Linked DNA regions of Tamandua tetradactyla. The protein of the gene in region 1 interacts with the protein of each later gene in a pairwise test. Links are inferred from orthologs where the notes say so. Each region holds a gene or a part of one and is shown on either strand. Other genes may lie near its edges. The genes, in order: CREB3, ABHD16A, CDS2 and TSPAN4.

Region 1 (6,995 bases):
ACCTCTCTGCCTTGCTCTGACTTATACTCCTTTGCAAATACCTATAGTGTTTTTTTTTAATGCCCTATCAACTAGGCAGATCATATTCACCAGGCATTCCCTGCACTCTACCTTCTGGTCCCAACTCTACCATTTTACGGTTCCAATCAAACCGGACTATGTTTTATTCTCTCTGCCTAGAATGCTTTCACTACTCCCAGAATACTACTCCCTATTAAATGCCATCTGCCCCATGAGGTCTTTCTTGCTTTCCTCCTTTCTCTTACTTGGTACTTATTTATCCTTAGTTACTCTGAATTTATTTCCCCATTACTGCAAGCTTCTTGGAATCAGAGCCAAGAGAAGTCCAAGTACCAGCCTCACATGTGGGAGCTGCCCAGTGAGAAATCAAGTGTGGCGCAGGGGAAAGACAGCATTAAATGGGAAGGAGAGGAGGGACTGATACTGGAGGGTTGCTTACAGATTCTGTTCCTCCAAGAGCTGTACTTTGTTCTTTAGCTCCAGATTCTGGGCTGTGCATTTCAGCACCCTAGGGGAATAAGACAAGCATATGGCCTGTATCTTCCCTTCAAAAGCCAACTATCTCTCCTCCCCCAACTCCTCTCAGAGTCCCTTTCCCCTTCATACCTGCTTTCTAGACCCCCCACGTACATCTTCTTCTTTCTACGACTCTCTTGAGCAGACTTTTTGTTTCGAATCTTCCTCCGCACTCGTTTCAGAGCTTGTTCCTCCACCTGGGAGAAGAGAGGAAAGGAACATCAGAGAAACATGGAACCATAGAGTTAGAGAGTAAATGAGTTCAATCTTCTTCCCAATGTAGGAAACCTTTTCCAAAGTGTCCCTGACCAACAAGCACTAGACTTCTGTCTGAATGCTTCCAAGTGTCAGATGTTAATACTCCCACAAACCCAGATCAAGTTTAAAATCTTTCTTATCCTGAGCCAACATCTGCCTCCTAATTTCTATCCATTGGGCTTTAGTGTCTGATATCTGGGACCATGTAGAATAAACCATGTTTAGCTATTTGGCACTTGACATTTCTTCACAATCTTCCTCAGAGTTAAAAACAAAAGTAAAACTTGCTCAAAATGTGTAATTCTTCATCATCCTGCTCTCCTCAGGGTGGACTCCATCCTGTTAATAACTGTCAATGATCTGGGTTCCAAACGGGACACTAAGAAATGCTTTCACTAATTAAGGAGAGCAACACCCCTATCAATAGAGTCTCCAGATCCCATTCATTTTTCAGTAGCCACTTCATGTTAATGACTCATCTTGTACTTTTTTAAGAAGTTAAAATTCCCTTAATCTTTCTGTCAATGAACATTGATTTTATCACTGTATCACAGTGTTGTGCTTGTGAAATTATCACTCATTGCCTGTAACTTAAAAATCAAGAATTTACATTTATTTTCGTTAAACTGTTGAGTTCAGCCTTGTCAAATTCTAAAGCTCAATTCTACCATTCAGCAAGAGGTGGATTACCATAAAGCCATAGATATCTAAGTTTCAGGGCCCCTCACTTGGCACAGTCTTTGCTGAGACCTTATACTAATGTTGCACTGATAATTTTGAATTTTTTTCTTAAAAAGAACATCAAAATTTGTATAAGCTTCAGACCCCACAAAATCAGCATCTGCTTTTATTTCTAGCATATTAACTACATGCCCCAGCTTCCTGCAAGCAACAAATTTGCTAAATTTCTTACCTCAGTTCCTTTACAAGTTACTGATAATACAATTAACAGGATTGACCTGCTTGGCACTCATACAGTGTCCCCTCCCCACAAGCCTTTGCTCCCTATAGGACTCTTACCTTAGTGAGAGGAAGAGTCCCAGGCAGAGTAAACCCCTCCTTCTCCAATAGCCTCTTCTCCTCATCGGTCAGTATCAGACTACCAATCTCCTGGGGTTATGGGGTGGTGGGCAGCAGAGTTGCATGAAGATGTCAGAAAATGGGGAATCCTGCCCCCCCCATACAATTTGGGATTAATCCTCCCATAAGTCAAGTACCTGCTCTGCCTGCTCCTCCACCTGCAATGGAGTCATCTGGGGCCCCTTCTTTCCACAGCTCCCACTATCTGCAAACAAGAAAGTAAGAATAGCCAGGTCCATGAGCCCTCTCCTCTCTCAAATTTCATTTATTTCAGACTCACCGAGATCTACAGAGCTATATTCCTGTGGGAGGGAGTAGGTGTGATCATGGTAAACGGGACAGAGGTTGGAGAAGCTGAGAACGTTCAACGATGGTGGGGGGCTCAGCAGGGAGGTCAGGAAATCCTCCACCTCCCATTCGCTCAGTACCTGCACAGGGTTCAAATTAATGGGCTGTGACTGATTACTAAATCTCTGCTTCACGAATGCCCCCCTCCCCCTCCGGCCCGCGCCTCCCCGACACAGAACTCTCACCCACCTCAGCGAGTGGCAGCTCCCATTCCTCCGGAACCTCCACGGCGGCCTCCTCGGACGCCGCCCCCAAATCTCCGCTTTCCTCTAGCAGGAAGTCCAGCAGGTCCTGGTCACCGGGGCCCAGCGCCAGGTCCATATCGGTTTCCACGGGGGGTTCGACCATCTACCCAGCCCCAAATCCCGTGCCCCAGGAATAACCTCCAGCCCAGTATGCCTCCCCCAAATATCGTAGGGTTTCTTTTCCGCCGGGCTTTCCCCTCTAGAGTCTGACGCGCCTCCCAGAGCCGATTCTCTTCAGCTTCCAACACAACAGAAGTGACGCTTATAGCCCTCATGGCATTCTGGGACATGAAGTTCCTCCCAATGCAGAAGTGGCCTTGGGGCCGCGCCACGTCCCTGGGGCTATGCAAACTAGAGCGGACGTTCCTGCTGGCCACCTCACACCCACGGGGCGGGGATTCTAGGGATCCGGCTCCGCCTTCGCCCAAAACGAGAAAAGGAAGGGTTAGAGACTAAAAGGGAACTTGGGCACGGTTCGGACGTTTTCGTCCGACCGCGCCGCACCCTTGCTTCCTGCCGGGGAGGGGCTGCGCGTCTTCGGCGGGCTGCCGAGCATCGAGAGCTGGCGCCAGAGCAGCTTCCTGCAGTCCCCGCAACCATAGAGCGCGGGCTCAGGGCGCCGCCCGCGGGTGGGGGACTTTCCGGGGACGGAAGTGATCGAGAGAGTGTCTCTCGGCGGGAGGGCGAGGCCGGAGCCCGAGAACGACCGGGAGAAAGAGCGGGGTAGCGGGCCGGCGGGCGGGGCACAGAGCCGGGCAGCGCAGGTAGGCCGGACGGGGCCGAGCGGGAACGGCGGGGTGGGGCCGCGAGGCTGGACCTGGGAGGCGGGCTGGCGCGCGGGCGGGGCCGCTGACTCTTCCTGCGTCTCCTGTTTCGGATCCTCTTGGAGAGGTCAGCTTCCAGTTAGTGAATGTCGCATTGGATTCAGAACTAAGTAGGCTGTTTGCTGGAGCCAAGCCCTTCCTGGGAGCAGTCCTTTTCCTGAGATGGGCTTGGGGGAGGGGGAGGACTTGGTTGGCAGTGAAGCTCGGGGCGCGGATAGGCTTTGGGGTTAGTTGATAGCGGCTATGTGGATAGGAAAGCTTTGGGTGAGTTTGGTATTAAGTGGCATAGGGTTTAGGATTCAAGGTTAGCTTTAGGAGTTAAGACTTAGAGTTATTAATGTGTCAGGTCCGGTTTGTAGGCAAGGTTTAGATTAAGATCATGGTTTTGTTTTTTAGGATGGCTAGCAGACGTCAGAGTTAAGAGTTAAGGGGTCAACAAATGGGAATTAGGTTAGACCTACATTTTAGGGATTAAAGATCGTTGGCGTGGTTAGGTATGAGGAATAAGCAGTGAAGGAGTGGGTCAGGAATCAAGTTACACATGAGCTTTAGGTTTAGGGATCAACATTTAGGGTTAAGGTTGAGGGGGTTCCCAAAGGTAAAAATCAGATCGGTATTATAGATCAGGGATTGGGTTACCATCTCTGCTGTGAAAGAGATGAATGTCAAAGCCAGTACTGGGGATCAAAAATAAATTAGGGTTGGGGTTAATGTTAGGAATTAGGGGCAACTTTACGGTTATGGTTGAGGTCAGGGTAGTTGAACTTGTTCTGGTGAAATTTAAGAAGTTCTTGGTAGGTAGGTGCCCTTGTTTTGGGCAGAGGTCTCATTCCTTTGTAGTCACAGGGAGCTTCTTGGGCTAAATTCAAGCTAGAGTTCTGGGCTTCAGTTGGAAGTGCAGGTGTCTAGGATTCCAGCATCTCTATCCCATCCTCTAAGACCAGGGCTCGTATTGTGGTCATTAAAAGTTGGAGGACTGGAGTTCCTAGACTCTTTTGTTTAAAAGAAGGGAGGTAGAGTGGGGATAGAGGCCCAAGAAATGTATAAAGCCAAATCATAAATGGGGGACTACTAAGGGAGAAGGGATTAGTGACTAAGGGAGAAGCCGGCCAAGGAAACACTGTTGCCCTGGTGAAGAGAATGGCTGAATCCCCCAAAAGTTCACCCCATTGCCTCTCACTGTCCTCTCATTCTCTAAATGTTTTTTAAATCTCTCCAACTGTCATTCCTGGCCCTGCATTTCATTCCCTCACACGAATACTTCCCTTGCCTTTAACCCTCTCTTATTATTCATTTTACTTAAGTTCCCAACCTTAATTCTGCTTCCCTCTCCCCTTCTTAATCCACACATCTGACCTTACTTTACCCTCACCCCAAAACTTGAGCTTTCCCATCATTTTAAAGCACTCTTCTCCCATTCTCACCCACTCCATCTATACCACCCTTTTTCAGCACAACGCAACTGCTGAACACCCCAGTCCCTGCTGTGTGCCATCCTTTAATTCTTAGCCTCCTTGAATTTCTTGGTCCATTTGCAGATCCCCTTCCCCCACTCCCCAAACAGAAAAGAGGAAATGAGACCCAAAGAGGAAACTGGGTCTTGCTGATCCCACGCCCAGCCAGGCCACTGACCACACCCCCATTTCACACCCAGCCTGACACGGCCACTGACCACAACCCTATGCCATACCCAGCCTGACCCTGCCACTGGCTATACCCCACACTCCACCCCCAAACTCCAGCTTTTCTTAGCCACAGCCAGTGTCCCTTCACCCTCATCTCCAGCCTAATTTGGCCACTAACCACAGCCTTATTTCTTCCCTACCCTCTCTAGCCTGATCTGGCCTCTGACCTCACTCCATCTTTCTCTCTGAGTCTGACATCTACTGCCCACATATTCATTCCTCCCCTTGCCCCAGCCTGATCCAGTGACTGATCATATATTCATATTTCCTACTATTGTCATCACCACTAGTCTTCTCCCTCCCCATATTGATGCATTCACTGACCACACCCCATCTGCCCCTACCTGCCTACTAACCACGTATCCATTTTTCCCACCGCCTAACCATACACCCTAACCACAGCCTCATCCTCATATTCCCAGCCCAGCCTGATCTGTCCTCCGTCTTCCCATTTTCTTACCTAATCTCATGCTACTACCAATGACAGGAAGCTATGGAATTCCAGCCTAACCGTGAGTCCTTGTCTGATAAGATTGACAGGACAGACTGTTGTCAGGTCCTGTCAGTTCTACCTCTTAAACTTTCTTTAAAGTGACATCCTCCTCTCCACCATTCTAATCTTGGCTTTATTATCACTTACATTTGCTAATATGGTGTCTCTCTAACCAATCTCCTAGGTAATTGCCAGAGTTATGTTCCTAAAAATCCAGTCCTGATCGTATCTCTTCTCTACTCAAAAGCCTCCCCTGGCCTCCTGTTAACCTCCAGAATGTAAAACTCCTCATTATCCTCTCTTGTCCTCCCCTGCCTTTCCATCCTAACCCTAACTTCCCCACCACTGCTCCCTTGCGGGCACCCATGCTTCAACCAGCCTACCTGCTCACTTCCCCGAATGCTCCTCCACAATTTCCTGCTTCTCCACTTTTGCATATGCTCTTCCTTCTGCCTGGAATGCTACCCCTGACCCATCTCCAGTGGCCTAGTGGAGAAAGCCTGGGTTCAGATCATGGCTCTACAAGTTATTAGCTGTGTGACTCTGGACAAGTGCTCTTTGAACAAGTACTTCACTTTGAACCTCAGTTTAATAATCTGTCAAAATGGAGATGATGCCTGCCTTGCAGGGTTGTTACATGTAAGGATCAAATGAAATTTTGTATACAAAGCAGTTAACATATAGTTAATAAATGACAGATCGTTATCATTTTTTATTATCATTATTATTTTTTAATCTAACTTCAAAGGACAACTTTTTCATGGGGACTTTTCCTATCCACCTTCCCTAACCTAATCAGATGGCTCTTATCACAGCCTGCTCTTTATTGTAATTCTGTACTTGACTTATCCATCCTCTTGACTGGGAGCTCCTAGAGGGCAAAGCTGTTGTCTTACTCATCTCCCTTCCCACCCACTGAAAGTTTTGGCCCTCGGCCTTCCCCACATTGGGGATGCTTACTGAGTGAATGAAGAATGCTTACTGGGTGAATGAAGGAAAATGTATACCTAAAGGAAAAAAGGATGTTGGGAGGAGGGGGGCTGTGTGCTTGAGATGGGGTGTATTTAGAGGGGAAGTTGCTTGCATTGGATGGAGTCTTTATGGAAAGATCAAATGGCTGCAGTGGCATCTGAGTCAGGGCTCGGTGACTGAGATAACAGATATACAAAGAGACGCCATGGAGGTAGCTTTGTGAGAAAGAGCTCTGTGATGGGGGTGTGTTTGGGGAAGAGAAGTGTGCATGGGATAGGGGTGTATGCGGGGAGGATGTGTATTGGGGAGGTCAGGCCCAGCCCTTCAGCTGCCCAGTCCAGCTCTAAAAGAGCCTCCGGCAGCTTGAGGCCGGATATGTCAGTCTCACCCACAACCCCCCCCCACCACCACCACCACAGTTGTGGACTCAGAGGCCAAATTTGGTAACAGACTGAGTATTACTCCCCCAACCCTCTTACTTTCTGGCTCTGCCTTCAGTTTTCTCTTCCCCTTTGTCCCTTTCTGTAACCCCCTATCTTTCTGCGGCTCCCTT
Region 2 (8,008 bases), on another chromosome or scaffold:
TTCTGTGTTCTCTGTCCTTCAACACTTTTATTTTTTGCCCTATTTTATTCCATCTCTCTATCCATCTCTTACCTCTTACCCGAGTCTCGTCCCTTCCCTCTTCCTCAGTTTCCCCCATATGTACTTTGGTTCCCCCGTGACTCATTCCCCACCATTGCTTAAGTGTCTGCATTCCTGTCTCCTCTCTGTCCACCCCTATCCTTCCCCACCCTCCCCACAATCAAGACTTCCAAGAAAAATTAATACATTTAAAAAATTATAAAAAAATTTTAAAAGTCTGTTCTGCTGGCTCAGACCATCCCTTCACTGGCTGCAACAAGACAGGGGACCACACCTTTTTTTTTTTTTTACGTGATGGATAATGCTCCCTTCTCCCCCCCTCCCCAAAAGCTCAGCTGCTGGAGACCAGCTGGACTGTGAAGTCACACTCTCAGCCCCTCCCCCATCGCCAAGGTCGCTGGCGAGTCCTTCAGGTGCCAGCTGGCGAGAGAGACAGCAGGTCACACTTCCCAGCAGATGTCACTGATATCATCTGGTCTTGGGGACAGGTGGGCTGTGGGGTTTGAGAAGCAGAGAAGTGGATTGAGAATATCTTCATTCTCCACATCCTCAGAGAACAGGGCCCCATCCCCATCCCTAACCCCAGTGTTTCCTTCCCCCTCCCTGCCCCCTCTGGGATTTAGACTTCTGCCCCTTAGTTTTTCCTTACCCCAGACGGGCCAAATGAATGTTCTCATAGACCTGGATTTCGGGTTTGAACTGAGGAATCGATGCACCTGGGGAGAAGGAGCAATGCGGGGTTGGGAAGAGAAGAGAGGTCACCTAATAACACAGTTGTTCGTTCCCACCCCCTCCGTTATAGGGGGTTGGGTATGGGGCAAGAGGCGAGGGCTCTGCTCCCTGCGATGCACCCTCTTCTTCTAGGTGGTAGAGAGGGACCCACCTCTGCGCTGAACCCCCTGGACCCGCCGCCTCCAGAGCATGATGCCAAGTATCAGGATGGCAAATCCCTGGCCTGCCGCGAGCAACAGCATCAGGACCCAGGGCACATCCCAGCCCGTGGCGGGGGCACAGACGGAGGGAGAGGCCCCCACGGAGGCTGCATTAAGGGCAACACAAGAGGGATGGAGAGGGAGTCAGCGCAGGGGCCTGTCCCCGTATCCCAAAGAGAGCTCCACCCCACAGCCCGTGGCCCAGTGGCTTTTCCAACAGAAGACACCATGAACTTCCCTCCCCTCGGTGTCTAGCACTCCAGTTGGCCCTTTCTGGGCCACCCACCCTGACCCCATGAGCCAACATCAATAGACAATGGCACTGCCCCCTGCCCACTCATGGAGAGCTAACTCCAGAGAGAACCACCCGTTGTAACTGTGCTTTTTCCTTGGGCTCTTCAGAGTAAACCACCCGTTCAAGAAAAAGTAAAGCGCCTTACATTTATCCATTCTTCTTTTCATTCACTCCATCACCATTTGCTGCATACCCACCCCAGGCTGTGTACAATATTAGGTGCAAACGATGGGGAGGTGAATAAGACTCAGTCTCGTTAATTGGCCTTTGCACACTGAAATAAAGGCCATTTGCTCCTCCCTGCTGCCTTGTAAATGGATTATTCTTAGCTCAACAGCATTTCTTCCCTGTATAATGGACTTTTTTATTGCAAAACAATTATATATTTTTCCTCCTTCTGCCTTCACTAACAATGGGCCAGTATAACATCAATGCATATATCCATTCGTAAAAAGACAATTCCCCCATCAATAACTTTTTTTTTTTTTTCAATAATTCTTATTGTCTTCCTCTCTGCAGTTGAATGGTCCAACAAAAATCATAGATTATCCCATTTCTTAACCCTGGCATATTCCACTAGAATCCTTTTCCTGTCTCTTAGTTGATGGAGGTCTTTAAAATGCCCCCCGCCCCCCTGCCCCTGCCCCAGTATTTTACTGGAAAGCAGGCTTAGCCAGCTCCCTTCTCTGTTATGGATTTGGTCAGTGAGAAAAAAGCCTTCCTCCTCCAGGCAATGGTCTGCTCCATTAGAAGTCACCCCCTCTGACCTGGCCAAGGATGGATTTGGCTCCTCCCCTAGCAAGCAGGTGTAGGATATACAAGAGGCAACCCATCTTTCCCATTTCCTTCCTCAGTTTACCTGCTAGGTTAAAGCTGACTACTGCTTTGTTCTGGGGCAAGAGGCAGCGGATGATTCTTGGTCTACGGCTTCTGGGCTCAGGAAGCCCCTCCCCAGGACACACCAAAAGCAGGGCAGCCCCCTCATTCCAGAAGGACTGTATCCGGCCCTTCACACGCCCCCTTCCCTCCTGCCAGGTCACTGAGTCCAGGCGTCTGGCTGGGACCACAGAGCACAGGAGGAAAGAGCAGAGGGATCCGTTTCCAGCCCTTGCAGAAAACTGGGTGCCTGTGGGGTGAGAAGTGACCCCCTCAGTTTTTGGCCTGTGCCTCCCTAGACCCCACTTATCCCTGATCTGTAAGCCCCATTCACCTCTGAGCACAGAGACGTCGTACACTCTCCAGTTCTGGTACTTGTGGTGCTGACCCAGCACGGCACACCAGTACCGCCCGGCGTCTCCTTCCTTGGACTCCTCCAGCCGCAGAGAGTGGTTCCCCAGCAGCTTGGGCCTGGATTCTCTTCCAGGCTTCCCAGGGTCTGCGGCTGGTCTGGCAACTTGAACTTGGGTCACAAGGGTAGTAGAGGAGCCTGCTGCAGGACTGTGGAACCAGGACAGTAGTTCGTCCCCATGCAAGGTGGGTGGTGAGGGACAAGGCAGCTCCACGGCCTCCCCTAAGGCCACATAGATGACCTGCAGGTTATCTGTGGGGAGGGTGTTGTGAGAATTCAGAGACCTCTGCCAAACCAACAACCTCCCAGTTGACCTCCAACCCCTAGTCTACTGCCCTGATGGGGTTCCCAACACTGGCCTGGGTGGTGACCACATTTCTCAAGTGACAGCTACAAAAAAAGAGAGGTAGAGAGAAAAGAAAAGATAGGGCATTCCTTCCCTCACCCCAGCCATTAAGGGTTCTGAAGGCTAGAGGAAAACAATGGAATAGTTTGTAAATACCCATTGTCTCTTCCTCTCATTTCTCCTTTGCTGGAAGCATTTAGTCATCCATTTCTTATTTTCTAAAGGAAACAGTGCATGGCCATGTGCCTCACTGTTTTTAGGGCTTCCCTAATATTAGAGGCAGTGGAAGGCTAGTTGGGGTAAACTTACATTCTTGAGTCAGATGCCTCCCTACGGCCACTAAGGAAATAGAGCAGTGTCCCTTCCCCAAAACTTCAAATAGCTGAAGAACCCCCCACCTCCTGCCCCTTACCTGCAGCAGCCTGAGGGGCCCCGCACAGGAACAGAAGGAATACGACCACCATGGGGACAGCTGACCAAGTTCTCATGTCCCGGGACGTGGTATTCTCAAGGAGGAAACAGAGCCCAGATAAAGACCCACATTCCCTGGTCTGAAGTGACGTGGGTCTTGGATGGGGATGGGAATGCTGGAGAGATAAAGCACAGTTGCGTGTCCTCTGAGGGAAAAGTGACCACGGCTTCTGTCTCCTACGGGAGAAGAGGAGGAGAACCCAGCTAAGGCCACTCCACAGATGGCCTCGGCTAAGGGACTCAGCTCAAAGACTCTGTCTGCCGCCCATCAGTCTAGAAGTACATTCTGTGGTCTCTCTTCCACCACTAAGAGAAACCAGCCATGACAGGAGATGTCGAGTCTTCACGTCCACTGGACCCAGAACAGGGCTGAGTGTTCAGCTGGCGCTCTGTAAATGATTTGGAATGACTTTCCCTGGTTGATGAAATATTCCACACATGCAGAAGACTGTACTGTTTAGGAAGTGGTTAAAATCGGAAATTTTGTGTTGTATATAAGTTAGCACAAGAAAAAAAAGGCTATATAGGATACACAACCATATAATGGGTAAATAAACTGTGGTATAGTCACAAAATGGAAGGCTTGACAGTAATGAGAATAAACTAACTGCAACCACTCGCTACAAGGTTGAATCTCACAGACATGAGCGGCAAAGAAACCTGATATAAGGAGTGTGTACTGTATGCTTCCATTTATATAAAGTACAAAAATAAGCAAAAACTAATCTCTGGGGTTGGAAGGGAGGATAGTGGTTCCCTTGGGGGGTGGGAGTGACTGGTAGCGAGTTTTTAATGATCTGTTGCTCATCTGGGTGCCGGTACATGGATATATTCAATGGACGCACTTTTTTTTGTATATGTGTTTACTCCAATAAAAAGCTGAAGAGAAGATATATTATGTAGGTGTAAGATACCAAGGAAAAACAAATCTGTATATCTACTAAGAACATTACCATTTCAAAGATCTTCTGTACTGTTTTAACCACAATGTTAAATTTGCTTTTTATCCTTTGCTTCATCATTAAATTTTGTGTTTTTAATCCTATACAATAGTGGCGTGTTGTATGTTTTCTATGATTTTATTTTTTTCACTCAACATTATGGTTTTGAGATTGTCCATGCTTATGGGCCATCATTCATTCACGTCTTTTGACGACTATTCCACACCTCTTTACAATGCTGAGTCTTTCTAGGCACCACCATGGTATAGCTCTTAATTTATTCAAGGCTTCTTTAACTTCTTTCGGTAACTGTTTACAGTTTTCCTCATAAAATCTTGCATTTCTTTTATAACATTTATTTCTAGATGCCTTATCTTTTCTATCGCTCTTGTCAAGCGCTCCTATACCTAACCCCTCCTTTTCACTCTCGTTCGAAAGTTTGGCAGGTATTAAGGGACTGAAAAAAGATTTTATTATGCCTGAAAATGACTAACTTCCCGCGTGCCAACGCCTCCAACTAATTTCTGACCACGGTTGAATCCGTAGGTTGGACTGCGCGAAACTTTTCTCAAGAGAGCGGAAAACGCCTCGATTCGCTGAAAATGTCTCGATTCGCCACGAGGCGGAGCCAGTACGCGACGACGTCAAGGGCACGCTTCACCTCAGCGGCTCGGGGAGGGCGGGGCTAGCAGGGGACCTGCTGCGGGGAGAGCAGCGGCCGGGGCCTGGGCTATGGCGAAGCTGCTGAGCTGCGTCCTAGGCCCCCGGCTCTACAAAATCTACCGGGAGAGGGACTCTGAAAGGGCCCCGTCCGCCGTCCCTGAGCCTCCAACTTCAGTCACCACCCCCTCTCCCAGCTCCTGGGTGAGTCGAGTTACCCCCCTATCAAAACCATGGTACGCTCCAACCCCCCTTGCGGCCTTTGCTACTTAGACGGGCCCATTATCGGAAATAGGGGGAGCTTGTTTGTCAAGCCATTTGTCCGCAGAGTCTCCCTCTTTGTGCTTCCTGGGTTAAAATCACGTCTGTGGAGTGGCCGCCTGCCTTCTTTATTGCTCTTTGGGCACCGCTTTCTCGTTCCGACTTACACTTCTTGCTTTTTCCTCTCCGCGGCCCTCTACCCTGTCTGTTGTGGTTCATGTCCATCCAGATTGATTCCCTAAACCCTGGAAGATTGGGGAGCTGGTGGATTTTGCTGTAAAACTCCCAGTTTCTGCTTCCTCCGTGCCTTCTGGTGACTCGCCCGGCTCCAGTTTATCTTCTCTTAGGCTGGCCTTGAATTTCAAAATGACTTCTTCAACGTATCGTGTATCGGTTCCTCGCCCCTCCCTTCCCTCCCCCCTCTCCGGTCTAGCCTGGAGACCTCTGCACTCAAGAAAGCTGAGGCGTGGGCATGGTGGTAGAGTGAATCCCTAAATGTTCTCTTCCTTTATCGGTAGTCCCAAATTATGTTTACTAGCCCCTACAAACTACCCGCTCCAGTAATTCTTCCCATGATTTGTCTCTTCCCTGATCAACCTGCTCTTATTTCTCATGCTCTTTCCCCCTTAAAGTGGTTATGGTGTCTTTCCTTTGTTCTTTAATCCCTCTTCCCTGAATGCACATGTTCACAACCCATTTGAAACTGGGTTGTGGAAAGGGAAAAGGTCATCCTATGCTGCTTTCATTTTTCTTCCAAATCCATTTCTCTGCACTTGTTCTGGGTGAGAAATCAGCCTCAGGGTGGGGGTGGGAAAGAGGGACTTGAGGGTGCCAGACAAGGGACTTTGCAGTAGCAGAGAGAGTCTTGGAGGCCAGAACCAGAGGACACACACCTGGGCTTCTGAAAGGGATGCGGAAGCACTGTCAATGGGTAGGGTCCTTAACTAGCCCATCTGTTTTGGCAGGATACCTACTATCAGCCCCGTGCCCTGGAGAAACATGCTGACAGCATCCTGGCACTGGTATGTTGGCCCTGGCATCCGGGACTCTCTTGCTTTTTTTCAGACCCACCTGCCCTCTTGAACATGCTTCTCAGCCTAGAAGAAGGCAGTGGCCCTCAAGGGTGGGGGTGCTCTGGGCTCTGCAGCAGACCTCTCCAACACATACACTATACACTGTCAAATGAGCATGTTTGACGCTCCCCTTTGGTATTTAGCATTACTTTCTCTGGGGTAGCCTGAATCATAAGGTAAGCGTATTTACTCTTGGGACCATCTACAGGTGCTAAGTTCTGCAGTCCCCAGTGACCTGTCCTCCCTGGTAACTAATTTCTTTAGTTGCACAGACAGCTGTTCCCTCTGGCAAGGTTCCTATGGTGACATTTGTGCACCTTTTGGGGACGAGGCCAAGGGCTGTCCTGAGCAGGGCCAATTGAGAAAGCTTGATTAATTTGAGTAGAAGGAGAGATTGGCCTTTAAATGTGATGAAATTATGCCAGTGACAACCTGGGGAAGAAAATTGAACCTGTACCTGGTTTTGCCAGCCTCTGTTATGCTCTGACACACTGCCTTTCAACAAATATCAAATACCTACAGATGATGATGTCATGCACAGAACAGGTACCTACTATGAGTATTCCTCAGTTTACCCACAACCTTGATCAGAGCCTAGGCCTGGCAATGGCAGATCAGTGTACATGTGTGTGTACGCACGTGCTTATCCATGTGTACGCGTGTTGATGTATTGCTTGCCTTCCCTGGTCTCTCTGCTGCAGGCTTCAGTCTTCTGGTCCATCTCTTATTACTCCTCTCCCTTCGCCTTCTTCTACTTGTACAGAAAAGGTCAGTGTGGTTTCAGAGGTGATGGGGAAGGAAATGGGCAGGTTTTTTGGCAGATGTGCTGGCCCCCTAAAGAGGATAAGCCTGTGAGCATGGCTTAGCTGCCCTTTTCTAGCAGGCTTCTTCCCCTGAGGGTGTGGCTGTCCCAAAGAGAGAGCCTCAGGGGAGGTTGAGGCTGAATGAGGGAGGAGCCTGGGGACTGTGGAGAGCTTCTCACATGGTCCCATTCCCTTTCCAGGTTACTTGAGTTTGTCCAAAGTGGTACCCTTCTCTCACTATGCTGGAACATTGCTGCTACTGCTGGCAGGAGTGGCCTGCCTCCGAGGTAGGTGGAGGGGAAGCCAGGTTTGGATCTGCCTATGATTGGATGAATATTTATTAAGTACCTTCAGCAAATACAGTTTGGTGCTAGGCTGTGAGGGGGATAGCTGAGAATGGTCTAAGGCGTGATCTTTTCCTTAAAAGGCGTTAGTTGCATATATGAAGAGATAACAGAAAAATTTGCCATTGTTTAGAAAAGATGCTTTGCCCTACAACCCAATATTTCCACCCCTGTGTTATATATATATATATATATATATATATGTATGTATATACACACACACACTAGAGAAACTCCTGCGCATGTATGAAAAATATGTACGTCTGAGAATATAGCATATGGCATCGTTGGTAATAACCTTAAACTAGAACAATTCTTATGGCCATGAATAGTCGGATAATGTGGTATGGTCACACTTCAGAACACCGTGCAGCAATGCAAATGAACAAAATAAAGCCGCATCTGCCAAAGCACACAAATTTCACAAACATGTTTGGAAAGGAGCTGGCCACAAAATAATTTATTCAGTATGTTTCCATTTATATAAAGTTCAAAAGGGGCACAAATGCAAGTAGCAAGGCACTAAAGGAATTC
Region 3 (7,309 bases), on another chromosome or scaffold:
CATGCAAACTCACTTAGTTCACACAGATCCACTATGAAGCAGATGCTATTTTATCCTACCCCCACTTTAAGGATGGACAAACTGAGATTTAAACAAGTTAAGTGATAAGTGATTTGCTCAAAGTTACATAGCTAGTAAGAGGCCGAATCCAGGCTCGAGATGGATCTGGCTGACTCTTAAGCCCCAGTTAGCTATTACCTTCAGTTAAAATTTAAAATTCCCCTTTCTAAATGGATGGAACTATTTCTGGTTTCATTTATCTAAAAAAGAAAGCATGAAACAAATAAAGTTCTAATTTAACTAGCACTGCAGTATCTAAGGAAAGAAGAAAACCTCAGAACCTTCACTATAACCTCCAAAATAAAGTCTCCAAAATTGCCCACCCAATCATAAGTTTTAAGACTGCAATCTTTTTTTTTTTTTTTTTAACATGGGCAGGCACCGGGAATCGTAGACTGCAATGTTTCATCCTTTTCTTTCCTAAGTACCTTTAGAAAAACATGATTGAGTGGGAAGAGAATCATTCCCAAAGTTTCAATTCCAAGTTCCTTAGTTTGGCAACTATACTGTACTTTGGAATTTTAAAATTATAAGCACTGTTCCCAGAAGAGACCATTTCCTTTCTTAGTAACCGGCTTTGAAACTTCTATTCTAGGATGCTAAATATAATAAAATACCTCTGACTTAAAACAAACACTTTCTCCAAATTATTTTGAAATTAATGAGTGCTTAATTACAAGACATTCTTGCCACAGTAATTAAGCAATTGTAACAATTTAAGGACTCTCTCAAATGCGTTCCAGTTCTTTTAAAGAACTGACCTGAAATTGTTCTCTGAATTCTTCTGCTATGATGTAAGTGAACTCCCATTCCACAATGCATTTCCCTAAAAAGACATCTTTTGTTTTATTACTTCTAATTGCTTTGGGTTCTACCATAAGGATATCAGCAAAGCCAGAATCATAGAAGCAGATTTTTCCCAAATTGTGAAACAGAATTAAATAGGATTTTTTAAAATTCTAATACATTTATACATCAAACGCAAATAATGCATTTTTAGGGTTCTTAAAATGTGTCATTATTAAAAACCCCACACAAGGTAACTTAGAAATGCTGAGTGATGGAGGGTTGACTGCCTTGCTTGAGGTTAATACTGTATCAGGCTTTTAATAGAATGCAGTAGAGGTTATGTTTCAGGGAACAACATCCAACCAGCGGACCTCACAACCAGAGGCGTCCTACCACTGTACAAGTGGTTTAAGTGCCAACCATAACTATCAAGACACCTTGAGCTGGACAGTTCCTCATGCCCTTCCTATCTACCTAAAACTTGGGATGATAAAGTATTTAAGAATCAACTAACACTTTATCTCTGGCAGACAGATCTAAGAAAGCCGGAACCGGCAGGCAGAAGAGAGTGCAGAAACTTTGTTTCACCTCCTATCCTAGGAGTTTTCACAATAAGTATATATATGTAGTTATTATAAATAGGTCTTTTTTGGGGGTGCGGGGGTGCATGGTCCGGGAATCAAATTCCGGTCTTCTGCATGCAAGGTGAGCATTCTACCGCTGAACCACCCGTGCACCCTATTATGGTTGGCTTTTGAAAATATAACGTAGCAGCTCTTTTATCTCTCTCTTCTCAAATCCTCTAGGCCCACGGTCTCATTAACATCAATTACAGTCTGTCACCCAGAAACTTAAACAGGCTACATGCCCTCCAGGCATCTGAATACTCACCAGTTAGACGGATGACTAGAGTCCCTTAAGGTGAGGCAGGATATTTAATCTGAAAATTAACGACTTCAAAGTACCTTGTCTCTGCAAGTGACTCCTAAATCTGCATCCCCAGCCCTAAATTCTCTCCATAGTACATTCTAAAAACCAATATGGGAAGCTCTCCTGGGATTATCCACCATCAACAATTACAAAGTGGTTTAAAACCTTGTTATCTTTCACCAAAATAAGCCCCTGACGGTGCCCACAAACTCTTCCTTATTCTTGTCAACAAGAGTCCTCCTAGTTTAACCACTGTTGGCATCCTGTCACCAAATCCTGTGCTCTCTTCCTTCCTGATGTCTAACGCCCCTTTCCTCCCGTAATCAAAAACTAAAGATTACATGTGTGCAGAGGGCCAGAGGTACGGCAACAAGGACTGATAGGAACAACTGTTCCTCAGTTTCAGCCAATTGATAACAGGTGGGAAAGTGCCTGCAGAACTTCCAATTATCCAAAATAGACAAGAAGTTCAGGTTATTGGGCGAAATCTTCTGATTATTAAAGCAACATGTGAACCAAAAACAAAAAACTGGCAAGCCCTGAGTTTAAACAGCCTCTTTCATTCTGTCCATTCTACACATCATTGCCAATTTAAGTTTTCAAATAACGCTGTCCCTGACCACTATTAACTGGAAGAGCACAAATACTAACACCAAGTCCCAACCATTACGCGGCTATTCAATGTTCTCCATAACACAACCACAGTCCACCTTTCTCAACTCCCCGACACAAACCTTACACTGCTGCTGAAGGCTCTCCTTCCGCGCCCCTCGTCCCCCGACCAGCCGTGTTCCCACCAAGATGGCCTCCTGTTTACCCTCCTCCTCCTCTACCCCAAGGCCCACGCCTGAAGCGGGAAACGAAACCATCCTTTCGGAGAATACCCTCCAACACCTGCTGACTAACGAGGGATTTTCACTACGTGACTCGAGAAACCTTCCTGCTCAGAGCCAACCGAGTTCAGTTCCAAGATTTAAATCTCCTAGAAGGCAAATCCTAAGGCATGCCTTGATCGCCCCTACGCCCCAAACAATAAAAATAATAAAATTTCAAAGGAGCAGAGAACCTAAGTCGCGCTCAGAGGAGCCGCATCCTAGAGCAGGCTTTGCGGGGTCTGAAGGTCTTCACGCCCACAAAGGCCTCTACGAGGTGGGGGAAAGGAGGGGGACCCCAGGCCGCCGTGAGGAGCAGACGGCCGAGAGCAACCCTCCCCGCGCTCCTGCTTGTGTCCGGGGATACCACGCCCCACCCCCTACAGACCCCAGAGCCGGGCCAGGGGGTCTGATCGCCCCGATCCGCTGATTCCAATGAGCGCCCCGCGGGGGCCGCGCACCACAGGCCCCTCGAAGCTGCCCAGGCCCCGGTGCCGCCGTCGGTCGCGACAAAGGGTCTGCAAGCCAGACGACCTCCCGCTCCTCCCGGCCGCGCCCCCACCCCCGCCACCGCCCCTACCTTGTCCTCGGGCGGTAAGTCCGGTTCTCTGGCGGCCCTCTGCCTCAGCTCCGTCATGCTGGACCCCGGCGCAACGCAACCGCGGGCGAGCAGCGCAGCCTCCCGGGCGGCACCTCAGCGCGAGCGCGCGCGGGCCTCGCCTCGTCCCTCCCTAGCGGTCCGCAGCTCCACAGCGACTCACAGGCCCCACCGCTACCCAGCCACGGACCCCCGAGCTCGCCCCGCCCAGCGCCGCCACCCTGTCACCCCGGCAGAGCGCGGTCGGCCTTCCCCCGCCCCGGCCGGCCCACCCCTCCTCCGGGCACGCGCACCACCGCCATCACCGCCGGGGAGATCCACCAATGGCGCGAACCCGCCAGGAAAGCTCGGCGGCGGGGACGGGGCGGGACTTAGTGGCGGGGAGAGGCGTGCATTGGACAGAAGCGTGAGGGGGCGGGGAAAGGCGTGTGTGTCCGAGGGAGACTAGCCAATGGGAACTCTGACCTGACTGGGCTAGCGGACTCTGGCTCTCTGGCCCCTGGCGATAACGGGTTATGAAGGGCAAGAGGAAATGGCCAGGAGGTTCCAGCCTGAAAGTGCTTTTCCTCGGCTTGCTGTCTTCCGTGGCCGGGGCTCTTTCCTCAAACACAGTGGGTGCTTAGTAGGCCGGGGTGGAGGGGCCAGGTGAGCCGACCTGTGTAAGAAGAGGGAGGCACGTGATAAGGCAGAGACACCCAAACTTCACGCTGCGTTGCTTTGCCAAGCCGTTGCTAGGAATAATTGAGCACTAATTATGTGCTAGGTACCGAGGATTTTACCTGGTTTATCTCATAATAATCGGCATAGTGCTTGAAAGGGGTACTATTTTCGTTTTTACAGATAAGCTCTTCCGCGGGGTATGAAATTTCTTGTTGTGTACGGTGTACTTCTTTTGACAGGAATACTGCCAACTTTGTTCACTGCTGAATCCCCTATGTGCCTGACACGTTCTGACTTGTCAACAAGTGCCAGACTTGTTGAATGGATTTTAAATTTTCCTAAAGGAAAACGATGTAGGCAAAGTCCATCGACTAGAAAATACCTGGCCAGAGCCAGAACACACTCTTTAACCATACTACTGTACTGCTTCCTTGAATTCACTGTTACTACACCCGTGCTGCCCCAACGTTGCTTTCAGCACTTCCTCTTCACTGCCTTGTCAGTAATCTCAAACAAAACAAATAGAAAATGGGATTCCTGCCCCTTAACCATATTGTAATCAACAAAGAGGAAGCTTGCACACGTACAATGCTGCAACTTCACATTAATAATTTTGGCTTGAACTGTGTGCTCTTGGGAAAGTAGTGAAAATTTCCAGATGGACATTATATTTTTCTGATTCCTACAGCAAAACAGTCCCATGTTGCTCTATCAGTGCTCTGAAGTGTTAAGTAAAATAAGTTTGGAGGAGCACTGAACTCAAGATGTGTCTTTCTATTTAACTCCTTGCACATATACTTATTTTTTTGGAGAAACAAGCCACTCCGTTCAGGCTATTATGTTGCTTTGTTTTGTCTTTCATTAATTATTTATAAAAGGAAATATACTCAACAACAGCAAGAAAAAAACAACCCAATTTTAAAAATAGACAAAAGACACAGACGCTTTTCCAAAGAGGAAATACAAGTGGCTCAAAAGTATATGAAAAGATGCTCAACTTCACTATTAGGGAAATGTGAATCAAAACCACAATGAGATACCATCTCAAACGTACTAGAACGCCATTATCAAAAAAGCAAAACTACAAGTGCTGGAGAAGATGTGAAGAAATAGGTAAACTTATTTATTGTTAGTGGGAATGTAGAATGGTGCAGCTGCTCTGGAAGGCAGGTTGGCAGTTCCTCAGGAAACTATGTATAGAATTGCCATGTGATGAAGCAATCCTATTACTAGGTACATACTCAGAAGAATTGAAAGCAGGGACACGAACAGACGTTTGCACACAAATGTTTATGGGGACATTATTCACGATTGCCAATAGATGGAAACAGCACAACAGATAAGTGGATAAACTGTGGTATATACATACGATGGAATATTACGCAGCTGAAAGACAGAATAAAGTCATGATGCACGTGACAACGTGGATGAAACTTGAGGACATTATGTCGAAAGAAATAAGTCAGAAACAAAAAGGACAAATAGTGTATGGTCTCACTAATATGAACCAACTATAATGAGCAAACTCTGAGAGAGTTAGGAACATGGGTTATCAGGAGATAGAAAGAGGGTAGAGTTTGAGCATTTTGGTGCTTAAGGAGTGCAGAATGTTTAACAAGATTGATTGTAAAGATTCAGAAATGGATAGCACAATACTGTGTGATGCTACACAATACTGTAACTATAATGAACAAAGCTGAGTGTGCATATGATTAAAAGAGGAAGGCAAGGGGTATATATGACCCGGAAGGGAAGACAGAGGATGAAAATTAGGACTGTATAACATAGCAAACCCTAGAGTGGGCAATCATGGTATTTAAAGGTATAAATATAAGAAAGTTTTTATATGAGTGAGAATAAATGTATGTCACCATTGCAAGGTGTTAAAAATAGGATAGGATGGCATAGGAAAAAAATACAATTAATGCAAACTAGGATCTATGGTTAACAGTAACACTATAATATTCTTTCATTAATTGTAACAAAGGCAATATACCAAAGCTAAATGTCAATAAGAGGGGGATATGAGGGAGGAGTATGGTATATTTTTTCTCTTCTTTCTTTGCAGAAGAAATGGAAATGTTCTCATATAGATTGTGGTGGTGAATGCAGAACTATGTAATTATACCAGGAGCCATTGATTGTACATGTAGGATGAATTGTATGGTGTGGAAATAAAACTGCTTAAAAAACTAAATAGAAAGGGCAGGCAATGCTGGCTCAGTGGCAGAGTTCTCACCTGCCATGCTGGAGACCCGGGTTCAATTCCCGGAGCATGCCCATGCAAAAAAAAAAAAAACTAAACAGAGAGATACAAGTGCTGGAGAAGAGGTGGAGAGAGAAATATACCTATTAACTGTTGTTAGAGAAGTAGAATGGAACACTCCCCTGGAGGGCAATATGGAAGAACCACAGGAGACTAAGAAAAGGCTTGCCATATGATCCTGAAATCCAGTTATGAGGTAAATACTTCAAAGAACTGAAAGCAGGTACACAAACAGACATTTGCACACTAGTGTTTATGGTGACATTATTCACGATTGCCAGTGGATGGAGGTGTTCCAAGAGTATGGTGATTGATGAGCAGAAGGGCAATGTGTGGTGTATACATACAATGGAATATTGTACGGCTGCAGAAAGGAATGAAGTTGTGAAGATGCAATGAGGTGAATGAACCCTAAGGATATTATGATGAGAAAATAAGCCAGAAACAAAAGTACGAACATGGTATGGTCTCACTAATATAAACTAACTATAATGAGCAAACTCTGATAATTAAATTTGAGAGCACAAATTATACAGAGATAGAAAGTGGACAGAGATTGGGCAATTGATAATTAAGGAGTGCAGAATGTTCAGTAAGGCTCATTGTAAAGGTTCCTAGATGGTAAGCTCTTACAGCAGTCACATTTAGTGCTGAGTTTTAGCTGTTAACTCTAAATTCTGAGATGCTGTGCTCTTTATGTGCAACCTGGTAGCTCCCTGAAACTTTGGGTATTTTTATGACACTTGGGACTTAAGAGTTCTGCGGCTCTGAAAATCGCATCACTCCATATTGCAACTGTTAAAGAAGCTAAAAAGGAGATCAGACTTCAGTTAGATATGAATGAAGCTGTACGGTTAGGACTAAGATAAATCAGAATACAGCGTAAAGGAGGCTATGTTTATATTTTAAAACTTCAAATTCTGTGTGAAACCAAAGGAAGAAATATTTATTTTGTCCAAAATTTAAATTTTCTGTAGCACACTGTGCCAGTTTGAAAATATTGTGTACCCCAGAAAAGTCATGTTCTTTAATCCTCATTCAAAATTGCTGGGTGGGATCTTTTTTATTGTTTCCATGGAGATGTGACCCACCCAATTGTGGGTAGTAACTTTTGATTAGATGGTTTCTATGGAA
Region 4 (7,884 bases), on another chromosome or scaffold:
AAGCACAGCCGAGGGGCAGCACCGTCTGTGCAGAGGCCCAGAGCGACGCAATCAGCCATGGAGGCGGACACAGGGTGGGGCTGCCCAGAGGGTCTCGGGGAACCTCCCAGGCTTATGGCAGAGCCCCCCCCTTGCCAGGGACATCAGCTGCGTGGTGGTGGGTGCCAGGGCCCCCACCCAGACCCTGCAGGCTGCGCATCTGCCCGATGGCTCCTTTCAGGGTGGTGCATATGGCGGGAAACCAAGACCCGAGGCAGTGTTGGCCAGCTGCAACGCCCGCATGGCCTACCCACCCCTGGGGACGGGCCACAGCCCTTGTGGAAGCCCCCAGCCCAGGAAGAGCTTTACTGGCAGGGGCCACGCAGGCCACAGGCTGGGACCACTGCCCCAGGGGACACTCCCACTGCCCGGCGTCCACCTGTGCCCTGAGGTGGACCCCCCCCATGTCACAGCCACACAGGGCTCCCAGGAGGGAGGCCAGGCATGTCCATCCGTCCGTCTGTGGCCCCTGCATGCTCTGCAGGGGTCTCAGGCCCAGGTGGCTCTGAGCTCTGAGGGGCTGCGCCTCACCACCCACGTGCACCCACATAAATGTGCCCCTGGTCTCGAGGCACCCAGCTCTGACCATCAGCCACGAGGACACGGGGCCGCCTCCCTCTCCACGGCCCACCCAGGCAGACAGCAGCCCTCAGCACGTGCTGGACAGTACGGTCACCTTTCCCCGCCCACCAAGGCCACTTGTCAACCAAACCCGCACTTAGTAACAGCCAGGGCCCATCCCCAGGAGAGCACCACGGGTCCCCACCACACCCCAAGCAGGACAGGTCCCCCCAGCTCTGGCCCCAGGAGGCAGGTGGAGGTAGAGGGGGCTACATGTGGGCATTAGGCCCTGACCCCAAGCCGGGGCCCAGGAGCGCAGGGTCCGTCCCCACCTGTGGGTCCCCAAGCAAGGTCTCAACACACTCCAGCCCTGACCCGCCAGCACCAGTGGGGAAACTGAGGCCACCACACTCCAGGCGGGCCTTTCTACCCCCCCCACCCCGTCCCCGGGTTCCTAGTTTGAGTGGGCAGTGGGGGCCAGGCCAGCGCCCCCAACACCCTGACAAGTGCGGGGGCAGAGCAGGGTCGGGAGAGCAGCCCAGCCCCACTCCAAGCCCTGCCGCCCCGTCACCCACAGGAGAGGAGGGGCCGAGCCCAGCAGGAACACAGGGACAAGGAGGGTGCGCCCCCTCCAGGGCCGCTGGGCAGCCCCCCCAGCCAATCCCCACGGACCTGGCCCCACCCTGTGCACCGGCCAGGGCTGGGGGCCTATTGACTTGTTCTTTTCAGGTTTATGAGGCCATGCACTCCAACTGGGGGGGCTCAGAGCAGACAGGCCCCCTTGAGGGACCCTTCCCTCCTCCCTCCAGACAGGTGTCCAGGTCACTGCTGGGCGCAGGGCCACTGCCCAGACACAGCTCCGACCCCGTCGTGATGCCACCTGCACTGCCCGGTGCCCTCAGCGCAAGCTGCCAGCCTGTGGCCGGTCGCCGGCAGCTCCTGGGCATCGTCCAGCTGTCATGCTGTCCCCACAGCCGCACCCACACTAAGCCCTGCCCGCTGCTCGGTTCCAACCACCCCGGCACCTGCTGCGCTGTCCCTGCCCGCCTCGGCCCCTGCCTACTGCAGCTGACCTGGACTCCTCGCCCCTCCCGGACCACCTGGCAGAGAGCAAACCCCGAAGTGCCCCTTCTGGGCATGGACCTCTGGGATGGGAGTCTCCTTGGGTGACACCCCCATGGATGGCCTGGCTGGCTGCCCTTCCCAGTACCCCACCCCGACCACCCACAGCTGGGGGAGGAGAGTGGGGGCCCAGAAGGGAGGGGTGGTACAGGACGGCCCCAGGCTTCCGCCATTTGCAAAGGAGCGCCCAGGCACGAGAGCAGCAGGGCCAGCCCCTTGTCCAGGCATGGAAGGAGGGTGGGCTGAGGACTGTCAGGTGGGGTGAGGCCATGGGCGCCCCCTCCCCACTAGGCCCCCCACCCACCCTGATCCAGGGAGTCAGGATCAACCCCAGAGGTTCTCCCAACTCCAGCCCCCTTCTCGGGATACAGCGGCTAGACAGGACCCACACCAGGTAAGGCTACCTGCCACCTGGTCAGCCGTGACACCTGGGTGTCCTGCCTGCAGTGATGGGGCTAGGAGTGGGGGAGCAGCTGTGTCCATGCCTCTGCAGCTCCCAGGTCCGTGTCCTCAGCCCCCAGATCCCAGCCCATTCCCACTGGCATCTGAACAAACCCAAACTGCCCCAGCAAAAGTTGGGGAAGTGACACTGGGGGAGGAAGCAGCAGGAAAGCCAGGTGCCCCCTGCCCCCAGCTCCAGCCACTGCTCAGGGTCCCGACACCTTCGCCAGCCTGGGGGACCCGGCCTTACATGCACACGCGCATGCACACACGTGTGCACGCACCCTCCCCAGACAGCCCGGCTGGGGCAGCCAAAGCCTCGCGGCTCGCAGGGAGCGCAGCCCCGGGGGATCCGAGCCCGGGACCGCGGGGCGGGGGGTGGGCAGTGCTGGCCCCGACCCAGCTTGAACCCCGATCTCGGGCGCGGCATAGGGCAGAGACCCCACCCCGCCCCGGAAAGGCTCGGGAGGGCACGCGGGACAGGGGCCCGGCCCCACCCCCACCCCCCCGTCCCGCCCGGTCCCCGCGCCGCCCCAGACTCACCCAGAAGAGCAGGTTGAAGGCGAACATGAGGTACTTGACGCACTGGAGGCAGCCGCGCGCCATGCTGCAGCGCTTCAGCTCTAGGAGGAAGATGAAGGACAGGTCCAGATAGAAGACCACATACTTGGGGCCCCGGGGCGGCGGGGGGCGCGGGGCCGCCTTGGTCCCGAAGCAGGAGCCGCCGCCCGCGCGCCCGGACAGGCTGCTGCAGCGCCGGAAGGGCCCCCCGCGCGCCGAGCCCCGCTCCCGGCCGTCCGGCGACGGGCTGCGCCGGTACGCGGACTCGTCCGTGCTGGAGCGGCGCATGGCGCCCGCCCTCCCGCCCGCTAGCGCCCCGCTAGCGCCCCGCGCCCCATGCCGTCTGCGCCTCCCCTCGCCCCCCAGGCCCCGCGCGGCGGCAGTGGCGGGCTCCGCTCGGCCCCGGGGGCGGCGGGCACCGGACCCCTGCCCAGCCGGCCGCGATGGCCCCGCGCTCCGCACCGCCCGGCCAATCCGCGCCCGCTCCGCCCCCGCCCCACCGCGCCGCCGCCCCGCAAACCCCGGCCGAGCCGCCCCCGCTCCACCAATCGCAGCCCCGGGGCGACGCCCCCCGCCCCGCCCCTCGCGCGGCCCACCCTCCCTGGCGCGGGATCCAGGGCGCCCGAAGGGCAAGGGAGGCGCGGGGAGGCGCCGGGTTCCCCGCCCCGCCCCGCCCCGCCCCCGGCCCAGGCGGAGACAAAGCGCTGGGCATACGCAGGGGCGGGCCCCCCCAGACCCGCAGCCCAGCGCCGCGGCGCCCAGGGGGGAGCCCGGCCCCAGGGGGGAGCACGCTCTGCAGCAGCTCCCAACTCCCGGCCCTGCTCAGGGACAGGGGTCAGCGCCGGGTCCCCCCGCTCAGGGGGATCAGTGCTTGGGGAAGGCTGGGGAGCGCAGAGCCGCCGAGGGGGGCCAGGGCTGGAGGGTGGCGCCGGGACGCTGGGCCGGGTCCAGGCGCTGGCGGATGGTTCACAGCTCCGGGGCCCACCCCAGGGAGCAGGCCAGGGTCCCGTTTGGAGGGTGTAGGGGAGATTGCGGATTGAAGAAGGGGCAGCGTCCCAGGATTCTTGGTCAGCGTCCTAGGATTTGAACAAGGTCCCCAGATTTCCATTTACTCCAGCCCGAGCGGGAGGCCGCTTTTGGGGGACCCCGCACCCTCCCAGGGGTGCCCCCCATACCTGCTGTGAGGGCCTGAGCCAGGCTCCCAGTCCAGGGCTGCACCTGCCCCCGACACCCACACCACCGGCACTGTGAGGTCAGATGCCCAGCGCCCGTGGCGCCCTCAGGCTGGGGAGCACTGCCTCAAGGCTTTGTCCTCACCGTGATCCACCCAGCGTCATGGGGAAGACTGGTGGGTGTCAGTTAATCACTTTCTGACCACTGGACTGAGCCAGGCCAGGGAACTGGACCCAGCCCTGCCACCCCAGCCTCAGAGGACAGGGCCTGAGACCCCTGGTGCAGAGCTCAGGCAGAGACCCCAGACTTGGTACCAGCCTGGGGAGGGCCCAAGGCAGGCAGGGTGCCCCTCAGGAAACTGCACAAGGCTGAGGGCTGGGGAGCTGGAATCCGAGTGTGTGAGCATGCCCCAGGGGAGGGGAGCAGGGGTGGGGGGGGCGGGGGGGGGCAGAGAGGAGCACAGGGGGAGAGAACGGAAGGAAAATGGAGGGAGGGAGGGAGGGGACCACAGGCACCGCTGACCAGCCCTGAGGCCCTCACAGCCGTGGGCTGAGCCCTGGGGGTAGTGGGCCTGAGGAAGGGGGGCTGCAGTGGGGGGGGTGGGACCCCTGGCGCCCCTTGCCCCGCTGTGCTGCCCAGAGCCCCTGCCTGAGCCCATGCAGAGGGCCCTGTCCCCAAGACAGGCACCGTGAGTGGACGCAGATGGAGCAGGGCCCTCGCGCAGAGCCTCGGGCTGGGGGGACTCACTGGCTGGGCTTGGTCTCGAGCCCACCACAAGCCCGCAGGAGCCCCTCCTCCTGGGGCGGGGACCCTGGGGACAGATGTGGCCCAGGCTCCAAGGCAGCCCGTGCCCGGGGTGGGGGTGAGGGGGGCTCCCAGGCTGGGAGGGGCTGAGCTGCCCACCGTGAGGGCCAGGTGGGCTGTGCCCGGGCCCCACCTGTGCGTACCCCTCCTCATGCCCGGCCACCTGCCCAGCCCTCCTGGGCTGCTCTCCCCTGGAAGCCTCCGAGTGGCCAGGCAGCCCACAGAGACCCTGGCCCTGCCAAGGTGCCCCCACCCAGCCAAGGCGCACAGCAGCCACAGCCAGTGGCTCCCGGAGGCTGCACCGCCAAGTTCCACCCCTTCCACTGAGATGCCAGCAGGGGCAGGCGCCCCACAGGGACATGGGGGCACAGTCACACACTGCAAAGGCACAGCACACGTGTGAGGCACGCTGCACGTGTGTGCAGAGACGTGTACTCACACACAGACACACTCATGCAGACTCAGGAGGCACTGACAGCACTCACCCCCTAGGATCCAGCCCCCCAGCTGGGCAGGGGACCCCAAGGCAGCCTGCAATGCTCCCACCTCTCCCCAAGGCCCAGGCCACATCAGCTGACCCTGGGGCTGGCCTGTCTCCCTCCCACCACTGGGAGTGCAGGGTGGGGAGAGGGGCCGAGCTCCCTGGGGCCCAAGGCGGTGCCTACCACTCCCAGCCCTGGGCCGGGGGGGTGGTGACTTCCCAGGAGCCCACAGGGTCTGCACATGCCCAGCCACCCAGCTGTCCTGATCCCACATGGGGATCCCCGCCCTCCGTGAGCCTCCAGGGCCTGGAAGTGGTGCACCGCCGAGGGTCAGGGGCAGCAGGCAGGCGGGGCGTGGGGGCCACTCCGGCTGTCCAGGCCTAGCACCAACCCCAAGCTGCCAGCAACAGGCACACCCACACAGGGACGGGCACCCCCAGGCAGCCCCTACACCCCCAAGGAAGGGGCAGAGAGAAAGAGTGCCAGGACCCCATACCCCCCAACCTGGAGCCTTAAGGGCAGCCCCACCAGCACCCCTCACAGACCCCCAGCCCTGCTCCTCACACCCCAGTGCTCCCGCATGGGACATGGACTCAACAGAGAGCCAGGCCAGCTGACCCTCCCTGCCACCGGCCCCAAGTCAGCCCCTGGTCACTTGAATGGCCTCCAGGTGCCCTTCCAGCCCTGGGACCCCCACCCCCCAAGGAATCCCGGGCCCTGGCCCCACCCTGTCCAGGGCAGTCGGAGATGGCAGCCAGTCCTGGCCTTCACTCTCCTGGCCTCCTCCTCCTCCTCCAGGAAGCCCTCCACCCCCTCCTGTTACTTTTTTTACTCTTTTGAACTGTTTATTCCATAGTCAGTTATTTTGGGGATGAAAACTCTAATTGTATATAGATTGAAAGCAAAAAATATCTACCATTTAACACAAAATATCCAGCTATCAACACATAGTTACACAGACACAACTCAGGCAGATGAAAGGAAGGCCAGGTAACACGCAGCAAGAACACCTGCCCTCCGGCCAATGACCCCTCGCTCCCAGCACATTTATTTACTTCCACAGGGTGCCCCTAAGGTAAAGTTACTTGACATTAGTCGCCAGTTGTTTACCACCCCTTTCTTCTATTAATTGTGGGTTAGGGTCCCATCCCCTACCCACACCCCAAGGCAGGCTTCCTGCACTTCCTGCAGGGTCGGAGGTGCCCACCCCTGAGCCCACCGAGGTGTGTGAGGAGCCGAGTGAGACCCCCGTGCAAAGTGAGGAGGCCCCCTGTGGTAGTTAGGTTCAGGCAGGTGTCAACTTGGCCAGGTGAAGGCACCTAGTTCTGTTGCTGTGGCCATGAGCCAATGGTATGTGAACCTCATCTGTTCCTGATTACATCTGTAGTCGGCTAGGAGGGGTGCCTGCTGCAATGAATGATGTTTGATTTAACTGGCTGGTGCTTAAATGAGAGATTCAACACAGCACAGCCCAAGCAGCTCAGCATACCACAGCTCAGCACTTGCAGCTCAGCCCGGGCCTTTGGAGATGCAGAAAGGAATCACCCTGGGGAAAGTTGTTGGAACCCAGAGGCCTGGAGAGAAGGCCAGCAGAGATCACCCTGTGCCTTCCCATGTAAGAAAGAACCTCAGTTGAGAGTTAGCTGCCTTTCCTCTGAAGAACTAATGAAATAAATCCCCTTTTATTAAAAGCCAATCCATCTCTGGTGTGTTGCATTCCGGCAGCTAGCAAACTAGAACAGATTTGGTACCAGGAGTGGGGTGTTGCTGCAGTTTGCAAACATCAGATATGTTGGAACAGTTTTTTGGATGGCTAAGGGGAAGATTTTAGAGGAACTGAGAAGAGAAGGATGGAGAAGTCCTGGAGTGCTTGAAGAGACTGTTGGCGTAAATGGAACCACTGCCAGTCTGGACAAAGGGGACACAAAAGGGACAAATTGGGGAGTTTGCAAAGTGAGGACCATGGAAGCTTGGGTCTGAAGCCAAGAAACCTCGAGGAGAGTGGACCCACCCATATACATGGAGAGGGTGAGTTTACCCTGAAGGGCGAGGATGAGCCTCCCACCTTGTTGCAGTGGAAGAGTTGTGCAGCTTCAGGCCTTGGAGAAGGTACAACACGCTCCTTGGGGACTGGGGAGAGCCTGGCTGCCACCACATGGAGGGGTTGAGCGTGTGCCCCGGAAATGGCAGAGAGCCAGGTGTGGCCTTGATGCCTGGAGAGAGTGGAGCCCAGAGGTGGTCTCCTCAATGTCCCCAGAGGTTGATTCAGAAAGAGGCCGGCCACTGCACAGGCCCTTGGAAAGGGTCGGTCTGCCACTTTCTAAAGCTGAAGGATAAATGACTTTCAGACTTTGAAATCCAATGGTCTTTTCCCTTCTAGTTTCTCCCCATGGAAATGAAAACCTGTATCCTGTGAATATCCTCCTTTGCATATTGGCACCAGACAACTTGTTTTGAGATTCACAGGTCCACAGTCAGAAGAGAATATTTTGCACCTTAATATTGTTTAAGGTGATGCAAGTAGTTGCCAAGTTGACAAGGGGTGGACATGTGGTAGTTAGAGTCAGTTGTCAACTTGACCAGGTGAAGGTACATAGTTCTGTTGCTGTGGACATGAGCCAATGGTACATGAACCTCATCTGTTGTTGATTACATCTGCAGTTGGCTAGGAGGTGTGCCTGCTGCCATGAATGATGTTTGA

Evidence for each region.
Region 2: the proteins of CREB3 (region 1) and ABHD16A interact in a two-hybrid assay, tested with the Homo sapiens proteins (2 studies listed by BioGRID and IntAct). The two-hybrid records come from large-scale screens. The link is inferred for Tamandua tetradactyla from reciprocal best matches to the Homo sapiens genes CREB3 and ABHD16A.
Region 3: the proteins of CREB3 (region 1) and CDS2 interact in a two-hybrid assay, tested with the Homo sapiens proteins (2 studies listed by BioGRID and IntAct). The two-hybrid records come from large-scale screens. The link is inferred for Tamandua tetradactyla from reciprocal best matches to the Homo sapiens genes CREB3 and CDS2.
Region 4: the proteins of CREB3 (region 1) and TSPAN4 interact in a two-hybrid assay, tested with the Homo sapiens proteins (2 studies listed by BioGRID and IntAct). The two-hybrid records come from large-scale screens. The link is inferred for Tamandua tetradactyla from reciprocal best matches to the Homo sapiens genes CREB3 and TSPAN4.

Annotation. Positions count from the first base shown.
Region 1 is NC_135328.1:60,057,213-60,064,207, forward strand, and holds the start of CREB3 (cyclic AMP-responsive element-binding protein 3), read right to left. Parts: upstream 3,013-6,995; 5' UTR 2,572-3,012; coding exon 2,413-2,571; intron 2,328-2,412; coding exon 2,156-2,327; intron 2,081-2,155; coding exon 2,013-2,080; intron 1,906-2,012; coding exon 1,816-1,905; intron 735-1,815; coding exon 628-734; intron 530-627; coding exon 461-529; intron 1-460. UniProt on the Homo sapiens protein: Endoplasmic reticulum (ER)-bound sequence-specific transcription factor that directly binds DNA and activates transcription. Plays a role in the unfolded protein response (UPR), promoting cell survival versus ER stress-induced apoptotic cell death.
Region 2 is NC_135331.1:87,286,177-87,294,184, reverse strand, and holds the start of ABHD16A (phosphatidylserine lipase ABHD16A), read left to right. Parts: upstream 1-4,991; 5' UTR 4,992-5,065; coding exon 5,066-5,197; intron 5,198-6,219; coding exon 6,220-6,276; intron 6,277-7,028; coding exon 7,029-7,095; intron 7,096-7,330; coding exon 7,331-7,417; intron 7,418-8,008. Other genes in the region: lymphocyte antigen 6 complex locus protein G6f-like, read right to left, coding at 944-1,099, 2,147-2,413, 2,498-2,827, 3,334-3,409. UniProt on the Homo sapiens protein: Phosphatidylserine (PS) lipase that mediates the hydrolysis of phosphatidylserine to generate lysophosphatidylserine (LPS). LPS constitutes a class of signaling lipids that regulates immunological and neurological processes.
Region 3 is NC_135327.1:55,673,673-55,680,981, forward strand, and holds the start of CDS2 (phosphatidate cytidylyltransferase 2), read right to left. Parts: upstream 3,014-7,309; 5' UTR 2,649-3,013; coding exon 2,514-2,648; intron 1-2,513. UniProt on the Homo sapiens protein: Catalyzes the conversion of phosphatidic acid (PA) to CDP-diacylglycerol (CDP-DAG), an essential intermediate in the synthesis of phosphatidylglycerol, cardiolipin and phosphatidylinositol.
Region 4 is NC_135335.1:678,596-686,479, reverse strand, and holds the start of TSPAN4 (tetraspanin-4), read right to left. Parts: upstream 3,013-7,884; coding exon 2,707-3,012; intron 1-2,706. UniProt on the Homo sapiens protein: Structural component of specialized membrane microdomains known as tetraspanin-enriched microdomains (TERMs), which act as platforms for receptor clustering and signaling.